Linked DNA regions of Canis lupus familiaris. The protein of the gene in region 2 binds, or shares a complex with, the protein of the main gene of each other region. Links are inferred from orthologs where the notes say so. Each region holds a gene or a part of one and is shown on either strand. Other genes may lie near its edges. The genes, in order: NUMB, YWHAH and NEDD4L.

Region 1 (7,815 bases), on a different chromosome or scaffold from region 2:
AAAAAAAATATTTTATTTATTCATGAGAGACACACACAGAGAGAGGCAGAGACACAGGCAGAGGGAGAAGAAGGCTCCATGCAGGGAGCCTGATGCGGAACTCGATCCCAGGACTCCAGGATCACACCCTGGGCCAAAGGCGGCACTAAACCGCTGAGCCACCTGGGCTCCCGGGCTGCCCTGAAGCCCTAAATCTTGACATAAATCCTGCATTTGCCATTTAGGGGAACAGTGATAATAAGTATCAAGCATTTCTAAGAAACTCCTGGAAAGGCAGGGCAAGTTTTAGGAGCCTAAAAAATGTTAACATATCTAGGAACAAAAGATGCAAACTTAAAACTGTGGATAACTAAATACACCCCAGAGATGACACAGGAATTATAAAAAGGAAAGCTTAGCTTTCTCAGTCTCCCTTTTCTAAATGCTCCCCTCCCTAAGGCTCCTTCCCCATTCTAGGCCCTCATCGCTTTGATGCTTTTCCCCTTTCCCCTCCCTATCTTCTAGTTCTCTCTTACCCCAACATTCCCTCTCAACCACACATGGGGAAAAGTTAAAGCAGGTTTTTTTCCCACACTCCTATTTATAAAGGAATTAAACCGATAAAAATTATTTGTTTGTGCGTGGGAGGGGACAAGAGCTTATAGAAACTAAATATTGTTTTAAAGATACGCTGGATAACCAGAAGTAAATTTAATAAACTCAAAGGGTTATTTTTACCAGGGTTATCTGTATTTTAAACCCTATCCCTAATTGTGAAATTAAAAACAGTGAGAGATGGTATAGTAACTGTTGGCATCACTAACAGTGAGAAGAGATATTTGAGAACAGGGAGCCCTTTGTGGAATTTTCAAAATCACACCATGTAGACAGCTGCTCCTACATATGGATCTGAGCGAGTTAACTTCCCTGAATTTCATATACCAATATCAGATAGCATAGGAAGTAATGTCTGAAATGACTTTTGTCACTTGAATGTAAACTGTAAGATTTCACATAACTGCCTGTTTAAAAACTGACAGAGTTATTTTTATTCATCCACATGAGTTTCTGACTTCTTAGGAGGATGCTATTAAGGGTAGGGCACTGAAGCATGAACTAGGAGGGAGTACTGAAGTTTTAGAACCTGTCTGCATTTGTACAGCTTTACTACAAGAACAGAGCTACGCCCAAAGAAGTTTATTATTTTTCCTAGGCCTAGGGCAGAAGTTCTTGACAACAGATCCTTCCCAAACCCCAGCTGAGACCCCCTGAATTTTTTAAAAACTCTGAAGTGTCCCCAATTTAGTCTTCACAACTATTATCTCCATTTTATGGAAGTGGAAACTAAGGCCTAAAGAATGTTAATTAGAGACACCTGGGTGGCCTGAGTGGCTCAGCGGTTGAGTGTCTGCCTTCCACTCAGGCTCAGGGCGTGATTCTGAAGTTCTGGGATCAAGGGATCAAGTCCTGCATCGGGCTCCCGGCATGGAGCCTGCTTCTCCCTCTGCCTGTGTCTCTCATGAATAAATAAATAAAATCTTAAAAAAAAAAAAAAAAAAAAAAGGATTGTTAACTAATTTGTCCCAAATCACACAGTTAGTAAGAACCAGAACCAGGCCTGAAACCCAGATCTGTGTCAGGTCCTGGACTCTTAACAGTTTATACCACTGTCTTCAAAGAGCTTTGATTAACATTTTGGTGAATTTTAGAGTATAGCCACTACTTCCCTTTCAGATAAACCCAGGCAAGAGTTTTTAAGTTTATTGTAGCCTTCAGGTATGACTATCCTGCCTTACTCTACCTGGACTTCAAAAAACTCAGTAATTACAGTTACACACTCATGTTCTTCTATAGTTAAGATCATCACCATCTGAGAGACTTGTCTTTTATGTCAGAATTTTGGGTAATTTACATGAAAGATGATAGGTTAACTATTCTCTCTCTTTTTTAAAAAAGATTTATTTATTTAAGAGAGTAAGCCTGTTGGGGGAGGAACAAAGGGAGAAGCAGACTGCCCCCCCGGACAGGAAGCCTAAGGGCTTGATCCCAGGATAATGACCAGAGCTGAAGGCAGATGCTTAACCAATTGAGCCATCCAGGTGCCTCTACTTGTTCCCTATTTCTAAACAAAAATTTCTACTATGCAATAATTTCTGGCATACTTCATTGTACCATAATTTAGAATTTTTTTTTTTTAAAGTAATCTCTACCCCCAAAATGGGGCTTGAATTCATGACCCCAAGAATTGCATGTTCCACAGACTCAGCCAGCCAGGCACTCCAGTATTTCTATTTTTCAATTAACTGAAAAATATATTCCAACTCAGTTCTTTCATTTGTAGAATTCCTCTGCAAATATATTTATAAGCACCTTTAATGTCAATATCTTTTACCCAGATGCATTGGCAAACAAATATACATAAGCATCTTGAAAATACATATTTTTTAAAGATTTTATTTATTTATTCATGAGAGACACACACAGAGAGAGAGGCAGAGACACAGGCAGAGGGAGAAGCAGGCTCCATGCAGGGAGCCCGATGTGGGACTCGATCCCAGGACTCCAGGATCACACCCTGAGCCAAAGGCAAAGCCAACCACGGAGCCACCCAGGCCTCCCTTGAAAATAGTTCTAACAATGAAAAGTTTCAAGTAAAGTTTAGCAGCCACCCTCACCAGAGCACTTTTATTTTTTTTAATGACCCTGGATCTCAGCTAATCACCTTGCTCTCTGAGCTGCAGGGTCACACCAAGAGTGTGAATTACCTGAATAAAAGGAATGAAAGCAGGCTCGTTTAGGCACTTTCCAAGTGCTGTAAAAAAAAAAAAAAAAAAATGTAGTGGAAACTGCTTGGCTGAGCCAACCCAGGGGGAGTTTGGCTAGCTGAGGTTAGTTATGATGAAATCTACACTGTGGACTCACCGTGTCCTTGACAGCCATGAAGCAATGACAGATCCAGCGCCGAGTAGTGCCATCACGACATATGTAAGAGAAGGCTCTATCAAAGTTCCTATCTGGGGCACAGAAAGAAACTTTTTCTATTGTCTGGTCAACTATGAGGTCCTAGAAAAAGGGAAGCACAAAGGAATAGAGGATTTACAAGGTTATTCAAATTTCTCAGAATAAACACAGGATGTTCACTTCACAATATAGTCTCTAAAACTAATGCATTGAGACTATGAAATAACTAGATCTGAGGCTAGTAGTCTGTATACTAAGAATCTGATGTAGGAGAGATCCCAAGGGGCACATTGCCTAGATGCCTCTCTTACTTCATGTTCTAAAATACATGCTTGCTGATTTTTACTATTTTTTATCATAGTACATTCCATGTTCAATTTGATAGTATATGTAAATCAATATATTTCATCCAATTCCCATGTAACTTATATTAACTTACTGATTATTTAATTGTGAGTGTGACTTTTTTTATATATTTACTGAAAGGCAATGTATATTCACAGTATAAACATTACACAAAATGTTTCTCATTATTTATTTATTTTAAGGATTTTATTTATTTGAGAGAATGTGCGTGTGCATGGGGGGGAGGGGCAGAGGGACAGGGAGAAACAGACTACCCACTGAGCAGGGAACCCTGGGGTCATGACCTGAGCTGAAAGGTAGCTGCCTAACTGACTGAGCCACCAGGTGCTCCCACAATATGGTTTTTAAAGTCTTGAGGCTCTGAGACTCTTTTATGTGATATTCCAACAGCCAAGAATCCCTAGATACTGAGGTGGGACTTTAAGTGCTAAAACAATCAAACAAAATGGCTTTTATAAAGCATCACTATGAGAATTTCTGTTGCTCCACAAACTAGCTAATTTTTAAAATTTTGCAATTCTGGAGGCTCATTATGATTTTATTTTGCATAATCTTGGTTACTGTGAATTTCCTCTTTAGCAAAATGATCCTTCAAGTCTTTAGAATTGTCTGTCATTTTTCTTATTGATATGTAGGAGTTCTTTATATATTCTAAATATGAGCCCTTTATAGATTATATACATTGCAAAATTTCTTTTCCATTCATGGTGGGCCTAAGGGTGAGAAGTCACCAATTACTATTGTCACAAAATGTGGAAAGAACCAAGCTAATTAGTACCAATGCTATAAGTAGCCACCAGGGGGCAACATGACTTTTGAACTGGTACAAAACAAAACAGCCTCCAAGTACAACACATTTCATCCAAAACACTAAAGAAAACTATGCAAGTTCTTAACGCCAAGCTAAATGCTCACTGTTTCCAATAATAGTAGTAGTAGTAGTAATAATAATAATGATGATGATGATGATGTACATTTAAGACTACCACATCTTGAACTTAAAAAAAAAAGGGCCTTAGATAGAAGGTCAAAAGAACTAACACAACTATATTAAGTCACTTAAAATGAAAAAAAAAATGGTGGGAATGTGAATTGGTGCAGCCTCTCTGGAAAACTGTGTGGAGGTTCCTCAAAGAGTTAAAAATAGACCTGCCCTACGACCCAGCAATTGCACTGCTGGGGATTTACCCCAAAGATACAGATGCAGTGAAACACCGGGACACCTGCACCCCGATGTTTCCAGCAGCAATGTCCACAATAGCCAAAGTGTGGAAGGAGCTTCGGTGTCCATCGAAAGATGAATAGATAAAGAAGATGTGGTCTATGTACACAATGGAATATTACTCAGCCATTAGAAACGACAAATACCCACCATTTGTTTCAACATGGATGGAACTGCAGGGTATTATGCTGAGTGAAATAAGTCAATCGAGAAGGACAAACAGGGGCAGCCTGGGTGGCTCAACGGTTTAGCGCCGCCTTCAGCCCAGGATGTGATCCTGGAGTCCCGGGATCGAGTCCCACATCGGGCTCCCTGCATGGAGCCTGCTTCTCCCTCTGCCTGTGTCTCTGCCTCTCTCTCTCTCTCTCTCTGTGTCTCTCATGAATAAATAAATAATAAAATCTTAAAAAAAAATTAAAAAAAAAAAAAAGAGAAGGACAAACATTATATGGTCTCATACATTTGGGGAATATAAAAAATAGTGAAAGGGAATAAAGGGGAAAGGAGAAAAAATGAGTGGGAAATATCAGAAAGGGAGACAGAACATGAGAGACTCCTCACTCTGGGAAACGAACAGGGATGGGTAGAAAGGGAGGTGGGTGGGGGGCGGGGGGTGACTGGGTGACGGACACTGAGGGGGGCACTTAATGGGATGAGCACTGGGTGTTATTCTATATGTTGGCAAATTGAACACCAATAAAAAATAAATTTATACAAAAAATAAAATAAAATAAAATAAAATAAAATAAAATAAAATAAAATAATAAAATAAAATAAGTCACTTAAAATTTATCAGATAAGTTACCCATCAAAACTGCTCTTTACCTACCTGCCAGACTCTCTCCTCCTTTCAGTGACATATGAATTTTTTTGAAAAATTGCCTTCTTGTTAAGATTTCTCCAGGCTTTAGGTCTCTTAGGAAATTTTAATTATTAATTAAATGTGTTTATATAACACTTGATGCTCTCTAAGGTCAGAGTCTATGTCTCTGTCTTTAGGCACACAGGATAACTTTCTTTAAAATGCAAAATGCCATCTATGATATGAGATATCGTATAGGTTCTAAGTATATGTGCTGCTGAAGTGAGCACTGTGTAGATTCTAAGTAAAACTAGATGAACCATTTACTAGCCCTTAAGATTTCCCTTAAATTGTTTTTAGTTAAACAGCAGGTTAATAATTTCAAATACCACTTTCTAAGAACATAGTTCCCTTTATCAAGGAACAAAAAGAAATTTCAGATGTGATATTGTTTTTTGTTTTTTTAACTTTATAAAAGGCCCATCATGTTTTACATCAACTTTGTGGGGGATAAACATTTTCTTAAAATGTGTAAGAATAAAATCTTAACATTAAATGCAAATGCTTACTACACTAAACATGCTGTCATTTAGAATAAAAATGTTGAGAGAATTCTATTTTTCATAAGGTAAATGAATAACTAAATTTATTTCCTAAACACTAGTATCTCAGAAGATTGGACAAAGTGAAAGGCTACAGAATAACTACAGCAGCTTAGCAACATTATATTTGATCATTAGGGATAAAACAAACAAACATGAGCAGTAATATTTAAGCTTATAAAATGTTTACCTTAGTTTTTTCATCCACAACTCTGAGTCCATCTGCTGATACCCACAGGACTGCCTTAACTGCTTTTTTTCCAGTCTTTTAAAGAGAAAGCAAAAAAAAGGAAGGGGGAGACACACATATATAATATTAAAAAAAAAATGTCATCTTCTATAGAAAACACTGACTTCTGCCTTCCAAAAGTCACAAGTACAGATGGAGTCCAAGTTCAGGAGGGGTACCCAAAGCCAGATACTCAAACCAAACTGCAGAAACATTCAGGAAAAAACAAGCCAAAGCCATTATTTTAGAAACACAATGCAAACAATAAGATAAAATTAAGTAAAAGGGAAGGGACAGGTGGACTCAAAACCAAGATATCACATTCCACAAAGGGCAAAGCATTCATAAGTAGATTCTTCACCCCTTTAAAAAATTAACCAAGAAAACCAAGAGTCAGATAAATATTAAATACATAAGGAGTTACACCACAAGTAGCTTCTACAAATTTATTTACAGTAGAAAGTAATACATAGGCCTAATTGAGATGCTGGCCTATCCTTTGACTCCAATGTGTATAGCAGAACCCTTAGTCACCTGAAATTTTCATGTTAAACACCCAAGAAGTCTTCATTATTCCTTTAATAATCTTTAAAGACCATGATTTCTTCTCTTAGGATTAACACAGAGCTAGTTTAGTTTTTAATTTGATATTAAATGCATGGAGACATTTTGGGGAACATAGGATTAAAAAAATACTAATATTATTACATGAATTATTTCTACTGGCTGAAAAAGACTTCTTTCGGCACACAAGAATCATGTGGGAACAAGCTAATATATGACTTCTCCTGTTATGGAATGAAAATTGGACAGTGGGACTCTGTAATGGTAATTTAACAGCTTCCTGTCTCTTCAATTGCTCCAAGGATACAAGCAAAATAAAATGAAGGCAAAATAAAGGCTAAGAACAGGTATCAGATCATAAAAAGTAGAAACCAAAAGGAATCTGGTAGTAAAATTGGAACAGCAGCCTCTAGAGAAAGGCAGAAGAGGATAAAGAAATATCTACCATTCTCCTCTGTATGTGTCTAAGCCCTGTGCTCCTCCATATGGAAGGCATGGCCTTATTTAAATGAACATCATCATCTCCACCGTAACTAGGTATCTGATAAGAGCCTATTACATGCCAGGCAGTAGAAATACTTAAGAGTTGACAGTCCACTGAAAGGTGACACTTAGATAAAAAATAAATAAGACAGTAGTAAGTGTTATAGTAGAGCTGAAAACAGTGTATAATGATGTCAGAAAGAAGGCATGGTCACATCTATTTGTGGAATCGGGAAGGTTATTCGAAGGAAAAGATCAAAGTAGATACTGAAATAATTTTTCTAGATGCATGAGGTAGGGGTAGGGATGCAGGGAAGTGACAGAAGTAGTGGATATGATAGGCAGCAGCAGCAGCACAGAACATGGAAGAAAACAAGCAAACAATGTGACAAGTCTGGACTCTATAAATACTTCAGTATGCCTTGAGAGTGGGATGGGTGAGCAAGGAGCAGTGGGAGAGTAGGAAAGGCCTAGTCATGGAGGGCCTTGTGTGCTTGCTGAAGAATTCTGTCTTAATTCTGTGGGTAATTAGGAGCTACTGACTGAATTTTTTTTTTTTTTGCTGACTGAATTTTTTTTTTTAATTTTTATTTATTTATGATAGTCA
Region 2 (7,815 bases):
TTTTACAAATGAGATTTATTTATTTTATTTTTTTTTAAAGATTTTATTTATTTATTCATAGAGACAGAGAGAGAGGCAGAGACACAGGCAGAGGGAGAAGCAGGCATCATATAGAGAGCCTGATGTGGGATTCGATCCAGGGTCTTCAGGATCACGCCCTGGGCTGCAGGCGGCGCTAAACTGCTGCGCCACTGGGGCTGCCCTACAAATGAGAATTAAAGAGGTTAATTTTCTCGATGTCAGGTTGTAAAACCAAGATTTGAACTCTTTAATTTAGAACTCTCACTTTAACCTTGCAGGCCCTTTACACAGGTGGGCTTAGTGAACAAGTAATTTCATCTATCAGAAGTCATTTTTGCCAGGTTTGACTTCAAACAGAATCTACCACTGTGGTTCTTAGCTATAGCAGGGGAGTGTAAAAGGCAGTCTAACACATGGGATTTGCTTGTTCTCCTGAAGAACAGGAGTTGTCTTTTTTTTTTTTTTTTTCTTAAGCTTAAGAAGCAAAGTATTAATTGAATTTGAATTCTTGCTATGAATTAAGAAGTGCAGAACTATGTTAAGTTGTACTTGGGGTATTTTAAGAAATTGCTTGGCACAAGTTTTAAGTACATTTTATAAGCTGATGAGTCCTAACATTTCATTAGCTGGGTTATTGGTAAGATTCCTCCCAGTATCCAGGTTGGAGCCACCTGTCTTCTACCCCACCCCCCCCGGGTGCTCTTTTTGCTCCTGGCTGCAGTGGCTTTTCCCTCGGGGTCGGGGGTGGTGGCACTTCCCTGCCATCGGAACCTGGCATAGCTTCTGAAGCTTTTGGTGCTGCTGCCTCCAGGGATGGTAGCATGCAGTAATGCCATTCAGATGGCTTGTATTTAATCCCTGCCAATTCCTACAAAAATGTTCAGTTTTGTCAAGAGGAAGAAAAGGCAGTCTCTCCATGATACAAAGGTGGCTCTTTTGACTAATGTTAAGCTTTGAGTGGACATTAACTACCTGAACTCAACTGCTCTAAGCTTGAAGTGTAGCTTCTCTTTGGCTTTCTAGAACTGCACCCTCACCCTGGTGAGGACAGGGAGCAGTCTTTCCAGGCCTGGGCAAGTGGTGACAGATGGGTACTTTACCAGCTTGGGACTAGGCAGTCCTCACTTTGAAGGTAGTAAATTGGGAAGAGTCTGCCAAAACTTTCATCCCCTGCCTCATGTTTTTTTTTTTTTTTTAAATAACAGGACTCTGCCAAAGAAGCTTGAAGATTTTATGCTGTGAATATGTTTACCTAATTGTTCCTGAGAATTATTTTCTCCCATTGTAAACTCTTCTATCAAAAGCAGGCTTGTTGGTAGCAAGTGGGTGTGGGTAAAAGTATAAAAGATGGGCTATAAAGGATGGGAGTGCCCTTCAGAAGTAACATTTACCCTGACTTTAGTGATGCGGCCTGGCAGTCCAGGGGTGGCGTTTTTTGTTTGCTCAGTATTACTTTTGAAGTTGAATGTTTCCCAGATTAAGAACTTTAAGTTTCCCAAATAGTCCCTGTGCTATTTTTGGCAGTGGATCTATTTTTACTCACAAACACATAGTTTATTGCCTGGTGAGTTAGTGGGAGGAGGCCCTTAGGGATTTTTGAGTAAGCGAATGGTGTCATAGGAAGATAGATGAGTTAGTAGCCTATCAGGTTATTTGTAACTTAGTACTGCTGTGTAGTCTCAGAGCAGAGGAAATGGGGTGAAATGAGTACCCACCCCCACCCCCTGGCTGGGAGCTGGTGCAGCCAAAGGCAGCAGTATGGTATGGACATCAGTCAGATGGCTGGCCTGGCCTGGAGTCCAATCTTTTTTTTTTTTTTTTTTTTTTCTGGAGTCCAATCCTTAAAGGAAGTGGAGAGATGGGCCTTTTTAAATGGGGACTGGTCTGGTGACTTAAGGTTTTCAGAGACTGTAAGTGGGATTAAGTGGGGTGGGAGGTGGGCAGGCAAACAGGAAGGCAGAAAGGCTGTGAACAGAAGTGAGAAGCCTGTTAGAGTGGTGCAGCCGCATGAACTTAGTGTCTGGAATGGCTGGCTGCCCTGAGGGTAGCTGATGTGTGGCAGAAATGAGGGTGTGTTGAAACTGGTTGGAGTAGAGAGCAGATTGAGAACCACTGGGCAGGTCTGTCTTGAAAATTCTGTCTTGTTTTTGCTTCATGTTCCCAGTTAGAAACCATTTGGAAACTTGAAATTGTAAAGCTGCACTAAATCATCTCCGTAGACTACCGCATGCAGGTGACCATCCAGCTGCTTTAGTATCCGTGTGGTTGGGACTAGTAGTTTTTGTTTCCTTTCCATTGCACTACATTGCCTCCCAGTGTCTGCTGCTCTTAGTGTGTGTCCAGACTATTCCTTCGCTTTCCTACCTCCAGTATGGAATTGGAAATATTGGGAACTGATGCTGACTAATACTAATAAAGGTTATTTGTCCTAGGTATCACCAATCAAGACTGGCTGCAAATCTTGTTTGTTTTAATAGGCCATCTGATTTCGCCTCAGTCTATACTTTTCCAATCTAGGGAAAGCTCAGTTTCCTTTCGTTATCCAGTCAAGTAATGATCTTCCTCCCATAAGTTTCCCTTTCTTAACTGAGTTGTAACTCAAGAGTATTAAAAGTACTATTTAAACGTATCCAGTTTTTTCCTAGTTAGGGCCTGGCTGGGTTCTAAGAACAATGCTTGCTTAGCTGTTAGTCACACTCAGCTGATGCTGATAGTGATTCATTCAGACTGGCAGGAACCCAGATGATTGTTACATAAACACTAATATTCCTAGTAAATGATTTTTCTTGTGAAGGTGTCATACATATTGCCCAGTAGCCTTTTTGGGTAGTTTATTCCTGATGCAGAAGGGCTGCATGAATTCTTGAAACACAGATACAACTAAATTTCATTTACATTGATAACAACCTCATGCCTTCCCACACCTTTTTATTTTGCTCAGGAAAAATGGAATCCTAGAATATTAGAACTGAAGAGGTCCTTGGAAATCATTTAGGCCATTGGCCCTTAGGTTACTTCTGATCCCCAGACAGCGTCATATAGCTAGTTCAGGCTAAACCCCACAGCTTTCTTAGTTTTGTTTTGTTTTTGTTTTTGCTTTTGTTTTAGTAATGATACTGTCCATTGTACAAACACCCTGTGTGATATGTAAAGATATTTCACATATACACTCAATTTTAAAGATACACTCTGGGGAGTTACGTTGATATTTCTTTGTGACAATCTGATAAGCAGCTTTATTAGCCACAGGGTGAAATCTTAGTGACTCCTTATGGATATCATTTGCACTTTTATGTCAAGTGCCCTTAGATACATTTACTGCAGGATCTAAGAAACTCTTAGTTGTGTGCTTGCCTTCTGTTTTACTGAATATTGTCCTGGAAAAAGTGACTCATTTGAGAGGATTCAACAATCTGAGATTTGTCAGAGGATCAAAGTCGGAATTTTGATTGATAAGGGTTCTTTCTTAAAAGACCAAATTAACAAGTATCTATAAAGTCTCTATATTCCCAGTAAACAAATGGGAGTGTTTGAAGAAACTCCCTGGAGGAGAAAACCAATAGGGTTACAGGTCTTCACCTGGATTTGAAGGGAGCGTGGATTTGGGGTTAGAAGATTACCCAGGACTGGGGCAGATAACCTAGAAAAAGTGAGGGGACCACTCACATCTGTGTGAGGAGGAATGAGGAACCTGGTATGTAGGCAGCCCTCCTGGGGATGGGCAGAGGCAGCCTGTGGCCAAAGACCACCCTGAAGAACAAAGTGGGGTTGGGTTGATTGAGTAGGCAGAGGAGGAAAGACAATCCAGGCTGGGGATTTGCAGCAAAAGAGTAGGGGTGCTGGGGCCAGGGAAATAGGAAAATTAGAAGATAAAATTGGTATTTTTATTGGGGAAGGTGTTGCTGGTAGACAATGAAGAATGTGGCCTTTACACATAATGATTATATTTGTTGCTTATGTTCTTGAATTAATTTTTTTGATCTTTTTTAGAATTTCTGATTCTCCACTGCTCAGTCTTTCAATCCATGTTAAAGCATGTCTGTTTTGATATGCTGTTAATAACTTTCTCCCCTGAACCTGGCTTTTCCCCCTGTCCCTCAATTTCAGGAATTTCTTTTTTCTTTGTTGAGTGTTTTATGGTTTCCTAAGAGTTTTCTTTTTTTTTTCTGAAAATTAAAGACCTTTACCGGTAAGTCATAATTAAGGAATTCCCCTACTTTATAGAGGGCAGTTTAGAAAATTCGTGGCTTTCCTGGACCACAGACCCAGGTTTTTCTGATTCTAGGTCTGTATTAGTTTCCTTGGGCTGCCAAAAAATGTACCACACGCTGGGTAGCTTATTTTTTTTTTTTTTTAAGATTTATTTATTTATTTATTCAGAGAGAGAGAGGCAGTGACACAGGCAGAGGGAGAAGCAGGCTCCATGCAGGGAGCCCAATGTGGGACTCGATCCTGGGTCCCCAGGATCACACCCCTGGGCTGCAGGTGGCGCTAAACCGCTGCGCCACCGGGTCTGCCCGCTGGGTAGCTTAAAACAGCAAATTATGCTGTTGCATTTGGGAAGGTTAGAAGTCCAAGATCAAGGTGTCAGCAGGCTGTACTCCTGAAGGCATTAGGGAAGAACCTTTGCCTCTCTCTTAGCTTTTGGTGGCTCTTGATAATCCTTGGTGTTTCTTGGCTGATAGACACATCACTCCAATCTCTGCCTCCATCATCACATGGCATTCTCCCTATGTTTGTGTGTCTCCAAATCTCCCACTCCTTATAAGGGCGCCAGTCACTGGATTTAGGATCTAGCCTAATACAGGATGACCTCATCTTGACTTGATTACATCTGTAGAGGTCCTGTCCCCAATAAGGTCACATTCACAGGTCCAAGGGTTAGTACTTCAGTGTAACATTGGGAGACACAATTCAACAACACAACAAAGTCCAGCGCCCTTAGTATTACATACATAGCTGGCTTGCTTGGAGTTGGCATCATGAACTACCTAAAGAAAGTTACAGCTTGTAAAATTTAACATTTCTCCTTAACATAATTGATGCTTCCATCCTTGATGGCCGGTCAGGGTTTCCTGTTAGGTAGGTCAAAGTAGAGCTTATAGCTGAGGAACTTTGCTTCCTTTGAGCAGCGGCTAGGGACACGTTACTGTCACTAATGATTTGGCAAATGAATTGTACGATCTTAACTCTTGATATAATACCTTTTGCAGAATAACTGAACCTCAGGGGTTTTTCATCCCCCACTAGGTACCACCACAATTTTTCCATAATTGTCTTTATCCCCAAACCTCTGCAAGATGAAGGCAACACCTTAAAAGACCTGAATTATGAATTTCTCAAATCCCTTATCACTGAATATTTTATTTCAAGTATTTATTCTTCTTTTTAGACTACAGTCTTCTTTCAGACAGGATCTATGTCTGACTGGTTTGTCTCTAGCTTGTCTGTGCTGGTTGCTGATGAGGTTCAAAGGAACCTCATCTTTCTAAGATTTTTGGATTTGAATCTTAGTGTTTATCTTTTGGGGATTTTGCAGGTGACAGAGCTCAATGAACCTCTTTCCAATGAAGATCGAAACCTCCTCTCTGTGGCCTACAAGAATGTGGTTGGTGCCAGGCGATCTTCCTGGAGGGTCATCAGCAGCATTGAGCAGAAAACCATGGCTGATGGAAACGAAAAGAAATTGGAGAAAGTTAAAGCTTACCGGGAGAAGATTGAGAAGGAGCTGGAAACAGTGTGCAATGATGTCCTGGCTCTGCTTGACAAGTTCCTCATCAAGAACTGCAATGATTTCCAGTATGAGAGCAAGGTATTTTATCTGAAAATGAAAGGCGATTACTACCGCTACTTGGCAGAGGTAGCTTCCGGGGAGAAGAAAAACAGTGTGGTCGAAGCTTCTGAGGCTGCCTACAAAGAAGCCTTTGAAATCAGCAAAGAGCACATGCAGCCAACGCACCCCATCCGGCTGGGTCTGGCCCTCAATTTCTCCGTGTTCTACTATGAGATCCAGAATGCACCCGAGCAGGCCTGCCTCTTAGCCAAACAAGCCTTCGATGATGCCATAGCTGAGCTGGACACACTAAACGAAGATTCCTATAAGGACTCCACGCTCATCATGCAGTTGCTGCGAGACAACCTCACCCTCTGGACGAGCGACCAGCAGGATGAAGAAGCAGGAGAAGGCAACTGAAGAGTCTTCGGGTCTTAGGCCCTTCCCTTCACCCACCACCCCCCATCATCACTGATTCTTCCTTGCCACAATCACTAAATATCTAGTGCTAAACCTATCTGTATTGGCAGCACAGCTACTCAGAGCTGCTCTCCTGCCCTTTGGGAAGCAGTTTCAGATAAATCTTCATGGGCATTGCTGGATTGATGGTTGCTTTAAGCCCACAGGGGCTCCCTTTTTCCGAATTGTGCAGACAAGTGCGTTCTGAATGAGGCATTCTACTATGCCTGTTGATCTATGTGAAATCCAAGCAAAAGCAATGGGGAAGTTTAGAAAGGAGAGTTAGCCAACATAGGCTACAGTTGATATTTAAATGATCCATTTAAAACAAGCTGATAGTGTTTTGTTAAGCAGTACATCTTGTGCATGCAAAAAATGAATTCACCCCTCCCACCTCTTTCTTCAGCTAATGGAAAACTGTTAAGGGAAGCTGATTAAAAAGAGACCACTTGCTCCTTTCCATCAACTTTATAAGAAACTGTTTAACGTGAGGTTTCAGTAGCGCCTTGTTTTGCCTCTTTAAATTATGATGTGCACAAACCTTCTTTTTCAATGCAATGCATCTAAAGTTTTGATACCTGTAACTTTTTTTTTTTTTTTTTTGGTTGCGATTGTTTAAGAATCATGGATTTATTTTTTGTAACTCTTTGGCTATTGTCCTTGTGTATCCTGACAGCGCCATGTGTGTCAGCCCACGTCAATCAAGATGGGTGATTATGAAATGCCAGACTTCTAAATTAAATGTTTTGGAATTCAGTGGGTAAATAAATGCTGCTTTGGGGATATTCTGTCTATGTGTGGTTTTCATTTCCCCCCCTCTCAAGGAGCTCTCTTACCAGGTTACCATTTTGAATCCTGGTTTTAGTTTCAAGCACCGAAGCATTTTTAGCACAGTAGGTTTTCCTGCTCTCTGATTCCAATACACATTTTGCAGTATACACATAAGACTCATGAGTTTTCAGTTTTCTGTGAAACCATTCCACATGGCCTCTCATCCACTCTTCCTGATAACTGGTGCTTCTAGTATGGAAGCTGAACAGACCAAAATGCTCAGTCTTCCTCTGTACAGCACCTGATCTGGTGAAAGGCCAAACCTTTGTTTAACTTGGGAAGGTGTAGCTTGACCCACCCTACTGAAATGTTGGTTGATATTTAACACTCAAGGTAGATACCGTGTCATACATGTCCTCATTTTCTTCATACCCTTTATTAGATATAATAAAATGGGTTCCTGAAATAAGGTTTAGTTAAAAAAAAAAAAACTTTGAGTATTCTTTAAAGTAGAAGAACTTCCATCTGCACTTAAAAAAGGAAAAGGCTAGACACCTTAAATTCTCTCCCATCTGTCTACCCCAAGTCTTCTCTTTTTTTTTTTTTTAAACTTTTATTTATTTATGATAGTCACACAGAGAGAGAGAGAGGCAGAGACACAGGCAGAGGGAGAAGCAGGCTCCATGCCCCAGGAGCCCGATGTGGGATTCAATCCCGGGTCTCCAGGATCGCGCCCTGGGCTGAAGGCAGGCGCTAAACCGCTGTGCCACCTAGGGATCCAAGGCTTCTCT
Region 3 (7,815 bases), on a different chromosome or scaffold from region 2:
AGGAAGAACTCTTAGAGTGGTTCTCAATAATAAGTGAGGCCATGGGGGGCATTTTTGGTTATCCCTATGGTGGTGAGGGGCTGGGGAGGAATGGTGGCCGTCAGCCTTCAGTGGCAGGAGCCAAGGATGCTGGATGCCCTGCGATAAAAGGCATAGCCTTGCCCCAAATACAGAGAATGTCATCGTGGAGACATGTTGTAGCACCATCCACTGGATTTCAGAGGGTGAGCCCGTTAGGGACTAAAGGAACACACAAGTCCAGGCCACGTTGGTCCAGGCCTCTTTCTTACACAATACTACCGTTCTGTCAACTGTGCACGCTTGGTATCTTCACTAGAAATGGGAGTCCAAAGCATGTGTTCGCTGCTAGCCCAAGACCAAATGGCTGGGCCAGGGACAATTGCCCGGACTCAACCAGCTTTCACACACCGTCAGTTCTGAGCAAGCAGCACAGATGACAGAAGGGCAGAGTTAAGCTCTGTACCCAGAGAATCAGACAGGGATACAAGCGACAGGAAGAGCAAACCTCCCATAGCATCAGAAATAGAAACAAGAATACCGAGTTTGGTTTGGTCATAAGTCTAGAGATCACACAGCAGAAACATACCACTGGCTTCTAAAAGAGAACTGCACGCTCTGCTAAGACAGACACCACTAATTTAGCTGGAGGAATGAAGAACTGACCCAGACATGGAGAGAGATGCGTATGCACCTCTGACTACTCTCATCGTGCTCACTAATACAACACAGATCCTTTCTCCTATAGGATTCAGCGCCACATGGAGGAGCAACACGATCAGAAAAATCAGTTTTGACAAAATGTTCACACACAAAAAAGCTATTAAATGTACAACCAAAGTCCTCAGTACATCTCTCCACCCATAATTAAAGGAATGAGACAGAGCACAGGAGTGTAAAACACGAATCTGACGTGAACAGTGAAGATGACAAGGACAAATCAAAGATGATAATGTCAATAGAAATGCAAAAAGAAACTGATGAGGAGAAATGATTAAAAAAATATTAGGACCCCCTAACAAAGTTACAGCATCATGGAAAATGAAGCAGGGACATCGAATTCCTGGCCCTGGGGAGCCACTACACCTTTCTTCCCAATATGGTAAACTGTCAGGACTAGAACTTTCCAGGGGTCCTACGAAGAAAAGGAACCCAGCCTGGCACCAAGCCCAGAGGTAGCCACGAGCCTGCGCCCAGAAGCCACCCTCCCCCCACCGGCCCAGATGTGCAGAGTCCAGATGTAGGCCGAGGAGGTCCCCTGGGGCCATGCTTCGGCTCAGTGAAATTCCTCTCCGAGAACTAGGAAATCCAGGAAGCAATGCCAGACCTCATGATGAAAATGGAACCAAATAAAAGCACAGCCTTACCCACGTTGTAGTCTTTGTGTTATGGTCAATGAAGAAGGGCCGGCCGTTGGGCGCTATCCTCATTTCCCAGCCGGGCGGCAGGAAGCTCTGTGTGACTTTGTGTTGTGGTTTGGGGGAGTTGTAAGGTGATGGCTGTGGGGACTGTGGATTGGAAAGGGTATCTTTCACAGCCCGACGTATGGGCGAATCCTTGGCACCCTAAGGAATAATAACGAGCATTAGAACTCTTACCAGCTGCTATTCCGGGGGGAGGGTCAAAATGTACCTGGGTACACAGGGACACTGCTCTCTGAAGAGGTACAAGGGAGAAGCTCTAAAACCCGTTTCTGTCATTCATCTACTTTTCAACCCATCTAACTTTAAAGTTTTCTGGTTGGTTAAACACATGACAATATTAAGTACTTATACCCAAGGTCCGTGGACAGCTATTCAGTGCGCACCCCAAGTATTGTTCTGTATTGAACGTTACGGATGGAAATTTTACAGAGGGTGGAGAAACACATGCCCCTGCTCTTAATGAGCTCACAGTCTAATGAAGAAGGGGTTGGCAATTTTTAGAGCACAGAAAGCAAAACCCGTACCAACAGAGACAGCCGTCCGGACCAGCAGGTTGCTACCCCCCGGCACTCCCATCCCAGTTTGGAACAGACCCCATCGGCTCCCAGCCAGCAGCATCGCAGACCCAGGGAACGGGCCCGCAGCTAGGTCTGAGACACCGTCAAGCTCAGAACTTCACACACTTGCTCTCTGGCTTCTCTAACTCTGACGTTTGTGATGCGAAGGGATGGCAACAACACCACACAAACAGAAGGCACCCGCAGATGCCCCGCAATGGCTTCGAGATGTGCGTGTGCATCAGAAACACATATGCCCGCACGGTGACAGGCCCTACCGTCGAAAGGAAAAGAAAAATGATCAAAGCGACAGCTATGTTTGGAAACGCAACGTAAGCATTGGTATCGGCAAGAGTTCGTGTGCAAGTCAAGAGCGAAACACAAGGAGAGATGGAGAGTGTCCGGCAGAGGGGCGCCCCCTTCGGGCACAAGGAGCCGCGGGGGCAGCCGAATGAGAATGGGGATCAGAGGGGGGCAGTCCACGGGTGCGAGCCGGGCGGCACAGAGAAGCATGAAGGAAGGCTGCACGACAACACCACGACCCATCAGAGAGAGAGGGGAGGGGGGGACAGGGGGCTGCAACCACTCAAACCCAAGTAAGATGAGCAAGGAGATGAGAAGTCCCGGGAGGGGGTGAGCCGGTGAGCCGATGAGGCCTTCTCACCTCCAGTGGGGCAGATAAGGTTACGGTCGGCGAGCTGAGGCTACGGGGCCGGCGGATCTGAGGCTCGATTAGGTGGTTGTTACTGTTTGTGGCGGATCCGGACGCACCGTCTTCGGCGAGCTATTTCGGAGGCAAAAACAAGTTAGCTTGGCAGGAGGAGGACTCCTGTGCGAGTGATGAGGAGCGTGGACCCAAACAACGTAAGCCAGCAATAATAAGAGGGCTGGCCTATTTCAAGCGTGGAGGAAAATGATTAAACATAATAATGGGGGCAACGATCGAGAAGTACAGTCAAAGGAAATAGAAATGAATCACTAGCCCAGCGTAAACGCCAGCCTCAGAAATCAAGGGAGAGAAGCTCCACCCTGGGACGGGCTCCCTAAACCGTGTCTAGGGGTGGACTGGCTTGAGGACCGAATTCTTCCTCCGGCAAATACTAGGCTTAGAGTTCCCATCTTCTCTGTGAGAAACATGATCTTAAACACGGGTTCTTTCAGAACAATACATTCACCTCGGGAGCACCGAGCTCACATACGTTTGGGCTTCTACAGCCTGTGATTTTAGGTTGTAGGACGATCTGCGTACCTGCATGATAGGTCGAGTCCAAGTTGTGGTTCGATTGTTATGATTGACATAGTATGTGCGTCCCTTAGCATCTTTTCTTTCTTCCCAGCCTGAAGGTAGGCCCGGCGTGGTGTGTGCATAGGCCACTGATGGCTGTTTGTGTAAGAAATCATTATTATTTAATATCCTGCATTTTCTTTTTGATCAGTTTAATAAAAGTAATGTACACGCAGAGAGTTACTAGACCAGGTAACTTAATTTTACTTGTACCAAAAACATTAGCGTCTGGAAAAAAGGCAATTGATTTCCAACGGCTTCCAATCTACTGTGAGATGACCCCCACACAGCCACAAGGTCCAAGATCTTCTAAGTCAGTGGTAAAACCCTGAAGTCTTAAACATAAAGGGTCGTGGCTAACATGATCCTAAGAGAAACGTACAATCTGTTTCAGTTACTAGATTTTGCTGTCAAGCCACAGAGAGTTTCAAGGTATTTTAAACTGTCCAATGTCACCAAGAGAGGGATGCTTTGAATAGTTTTTTCCTCAATAGAGTTGCCACAGAGATGCTCTCCTAACTCCCAAAGTCTTCCTCAGCTTAGAGCCCTTCCACTACAGCTTTCAGGGAGGAAAAAAAAAATACAGTCTCCTCTCTAGGACGGCTGTATTCGCGCCAGGGCACACGGTCATGAGGACCGACCAGGACAGCTCAGCGGCCCCAGTCGGGAAGCCACTGGGCAACGTGAGGTCAGAATTCCAGAAGAACACGCAGTTCGTGGGTTTGAGACATGTTCAGTATAGGGCGACTGGATCTGCAAAGTCCAAATTAGATTGCAGAAGGATTCCTGGGACACTTTTGCTTGTAGGGGGCAGTCTGAGAAATGCGGTCTGGGTGGAGAAACACTGGACCAGCAAGCGTGTTTCAGTGACTCAGAAGACAAGGAGACGGACGTCTGAGGTCCGTGCTGTCCCGAGAAGTGCTGGGCATGTGGACGCTGCATATAAGATCTGTAACTGAGAAAAGGGCGCTACCCCTACCCTCAGGGCGGGGACTCAGAATTACAAGCCAACTATGGCCACCAAGGCTCCTGGGAGAATGTAAAAGCAGCGAGAGGCCACACCTCAGGAATAATCTCTTACACGAGGTGACAAAAGGAAGCCACTTCTTTTGGGGCAACAGGCTTCCCTAATTAGGATCTTGTGAGCCTCCAGGTGGTTGACCAGGTGGATGTCAGGGCGAGGATGTCAATCTCTGAGCCCAACTCCTCTGTGTGCGCCCTGTCTTTGACAGTCACCACCAAGACTGTGCTGGGGCAAGGAGGCCACAGAGCGCCCCCTGGTCTCCTGCAGGATCGAGAACTAGAAAAAGCACGCTTAACCATCCTGCCATGTAATTTGGGGACTTCAGTTAATGAGGCTCAATACTCTACCCCATAAGCTAGATAGCACGTTCCAGAGAGAAACTGAGCCACGGAGCAGCTGCCTCAACGGTTATTTCTAACACATTCACCATGCCCTGCAAGACTATTTGTAAGAGGACTTTCTGCTAAAACGACAGTAACTATTTTCTTGATGGTTTTCCAGATTAAGTCCCGAAGGCCCTGAAATGGGAATTCCAAGACTGAGAGACCCTATGGGCTCTGGATCTAGGTGTGAGGCCACTACAGGAGCGGAACGGACCTGGACATGCAGGCCTGATCCTTCCGTGAGTGAAGACAGATGAACTCGTCCATAGCCTCAAGCTCTTACCGCCTCCTTCCCTGGCTGAAGCACTAATCCCAAAGAGCTCTTTCTAGGCTACTTTTCATCCAGGCACTACAAAAACTGGACTCTGCTGAACTAAGTCAGAACCCACACTGTAACCTAAGTGGTCAGTTTGCATTTTTGGCAAAGCATGAGCTATCAATCCTTGACCTACTATTGCTTATCTGATAACTAAAACTGCTTGGGCTCAGTGGAATGCTCGCTACATGGAATCTGTTGGTTTTCCTCCTCCCGGTTGAGTTAGGTTTTGGGAATGGAAATCAGATATGTGCTCGGAGAGCTCTGTTCTGGAAACCATCAGGATAAGGTTAAAGTGACAAAATCCCTGGAAAGGATGTTGATGGGGAGACATCGTAAACTAAAAGAACATGATGTGCATGGTTCATCTCAGAATCAGATTCAAAAGCTGCAGACCCTCCAGTCCAGGTTCCTCTCACAGCTCCAGTTAATAGGACTAATCAGTTTCTGGGAACCAAGAGTATAGAGGAGAATATGGATTTTGATTAATACGCTCATTATGCCTTCTATTGAGAATTGAATTGGCAACCTACAATCTAGTTCCATTTACGGGATATGGTGTTATTAAAATATTTCTTTATAGATTTCTAAGTGACCAGGGATAACAACTTGTGCCAACAACTGCATTTGTGACTCTAACACTGTTCTCCACACACAGCAGGGGAAGAGGCAGGACTCAGCTTCTCCCGGTAGATTGTGCAAGAGATCCAGCCCTAGAGCCGAAATCAGATTTCTCCTGCTATGTGTGTGTGTATTCACGTGTGCATTCCATACGACCTCAAGAGGCAAGTTAATTAATCAAGAGACAAACTGCTAGGCAGCTCAATTTAACAATTTCCCAGCTTTTCATCTAAATATACTATCGTGCTCTGCACTGCCAAATAGCCAGTTAACTACAGCTTCCTAGTGGTTCCATTTATTTCATTAAGATGGATAAATCAATTATGCGCAAACTGTAAAAGTTTCAATATGCTTTTAAAGATGACAATCAGTTTGGTACCATTACAGATTCTCCAAGATTCGTTCAAACCCTACTATACCATTAACTCTGTATTTTTAGGTATATAACAGCAAAGTCCAGAAGGATTGTACTCTCTCTCTCCTTTTATCTCAGAGACAGCTTCTGCTTAGCCAGCTGGAAAGTGACACCACTTTTCAAATACAAAGTATTATTTGTGTGTATACAACCAGTATGTATTCCTAAACCAAAGGGTCATGGTTCCACAGATGACAATCAGGGGTTGTTCATTAATGCTACAAGAATAAAAGCACTACCATGGAAAGAGATGTACACCAGGATGGTTAACGCAACATGGTGTGTAGTGCCCAGGGGGTGGGGGTGGAGCTGAATGTTCATTGATGGGGGATAATTATAGAAATTGAGGTGCATTCCCATCACCGAGTATTACGTAATTATTAACAGGTCCCAGGGGAAGGACCACAAGTGAAAAACACTAGGTTGCTAGGTGATGTGTATATGAGATCCCAGTTTTGGTGTGTCCACACCATGCATGTTTGTGGAAGCACAGGCGTTGGAGTGAGAGGCTACGTTCCAGGGTGGCCCCAGGACAAGAGACGGTACACATCAGTATGGGGCTGACACGCAGGGGTGGGGTAGGGGCAGGGGCAGGAGAGGGTATAAAAGAGGGGGAAAATATGATAAGAGATGGAACTGGAAAACATACTTTCAAAATTGTCTGGTTTCTGATGTAGCCATTGGATAAATTGGCTTACTGCAGCAGAAAGATCCCCAGGTACATGGGAAGCATGAGAATAGGTAAAAGCGTTTAGGAATGACTACTATCTGGTCTTTAAGAACCAACAAAACCAAACTCATGTTTTTAATTCATCGTTGGGCGAGGGGGAGGGCACAGGCAGGCAGAACACAGCAGTGGTAGGGCCACAGGACCTCATTTGGATGGGTCACGCTGTCCTGCCAAATACCTCTCACCATGGAGCCCAGTGCTCTCATAATTCAGTTTACCCTGTCACTTAATATCCCTCAGCTATCACAACGCTCCAATGTGGACAAGATTCCCGGGTTCCAATAAAATGCAAAAATGGATGGTAGAGAATGCTCATTAGCCCTGAATTCTATTAAAATTATTTAATGAAATGATCTTGTCTACCTTGCAGCTCTACTTCTGGTAGAATTTACTAGCACACAGTAGGAAATATGCCAATTCATTTAGAATTTCTTTAATTCTACTGGAGGCTGAGGCCTGGCCACCCCAACACAGGATTTTCACATAAATCACTATCGTTCAATACCTTACAATGGGCTCATTTTGGCACACTGCCAATTTGATTTTCCTGTGCACAATGCTGAGCATTAAATTCTAACAATATGACTAAATTATTCCTTTAAGTCCACATCCTGCATAAAAATCAGCAATTGCATGTGTATTTAAAGGTATTCTCAAGTAATAAGCAGTTATAACAAACCTAACAATGGTGACACAATAAGGAAAATTCTTCAAAGAGCGACAGCAGCTCGATGCATAAACTCAAAAGCTAACATGTCTTTAGGGGTCAAGCAAAAACCAGGCAATTAGAGTACATAGTCCTATTCAAGTTACCCAAAACCATGAATACTAAAAATTATTTAAAACAATGAGTAAGAATAACAGATACTTGGCTCAGAAAAACTTATTTTTTTTTCCTAGACCGTTTAAACTTAATTATATTCCCTCCTTTCTCTCCCCAAATTATATGAACACTTGTTCATTCCTGTGGATAGAGACCCTTGTGGCAGAGCAGGGTCACTGGTTCATGCTCATGATACAGAAAATCTAACCCAGCATGTAA

What was found.
Region 1: the proteins of YWHAH (region 2) and NUMB are in contact, whole or in part, in a crystal structure (PDB 5YQG), measured with the Mus musculus proteins. The link is inferred for Canis lupus familiaris from reciprocal best matches to the Homo sapiens genes YWHAH and NUMB. Residues at the interface, in NP_035868.1 of Mus musculus: Arg57, Arg132, Tyr133, Leu177, Asn178, Val181, Glu185, Ile222, Leu225, Asn229; in NP_001129547.1 of Mus musculus: Gln274, Gly275, Ser276, Phe277.
Region 3: the proteins of YWHAH (region 2) and NEDD4L are in contact, whole or in part, in a crystal structure (PDB 7NMZ), measured with the Homo sapiens proteins. The link is inferred for Canis lupus familiaris from reciprocal best matches to the Homo sapiens genes YWHAH and NEDD4L. Residues at the interface, in NP_003396.1 of Homo sapiens: Arg12, Glu15, Asn39, Asn43, Leu44, Ser46, Val47, Lys50, Arg57, Lys125, Arg132, Tyr133, Gly174, Leu177, Asn178, Val181, Tyr184, Glu185, Leu221, Leu225, Asp228, Asn229, Leu232, Trp233; in NP_001138439.1 of Homo sapiens: Pro444, Arg445, Ser446, Leu447, Ser448, Ser449, Pro450, Thr451, Val452, Thr453, Leu454, Ser455.

Annotation. Positions count from the first base shown.
Region 1 is NC_049229.1:46,934,921-46,942,735, forward strand, and holds part of NUMB (protein numb homolog), read right to left. Parts: intron 6,198-7,815; coding exon 6,123-6,197; intron 3,043-6,122; coding exon 2,902-3,042; intron 1-2,901. UniProt on the Homo sapiens protein: Regulates clathrin-mediated receptor endocytosis. Plays a role in the process of neurogenesis.
Region 2 is NC_049247.1:25,199,351-25,207,165, forward strand, and holds the end of YWHAH (14-3-3 protein eta), read left to right. Parts: intron 1-5,560; coding exon 5,561-6,214; 3' UTR 6,215-7,038; downstream 7,039-7,815. UniProt on the Homo sapiens protein: Adapter protein implicated in the regulation of a large spectrum of both general and specialized signaling pathways. Binds to a large number of partners, usually by recognition of a phosphoserine or phosphothreonine motif.
Region 3 is NC_049222.1:17,784,864-17,792,678, forward strand, and holds part of NEDD4L (E3 ubiquitin-protein ligase NEDD4-like), read right to left. Parts: intron 3,381-7,815; coding exon 3,249-3,380; intron 2,784-3,248; coding exon 2,664-2,783; intron 1,584-2,663; coding exon 1,386-1,583; intron 1-1,385. UniProt on the Homo sapiens protein: E3 ubiquitin-protein ligase that mediates the polyubiquitination of lysine and cysteine residues on target proteins and is thereby implicated in the regulation of various signaling pathways including autophagy, innate immunity or DNA repair.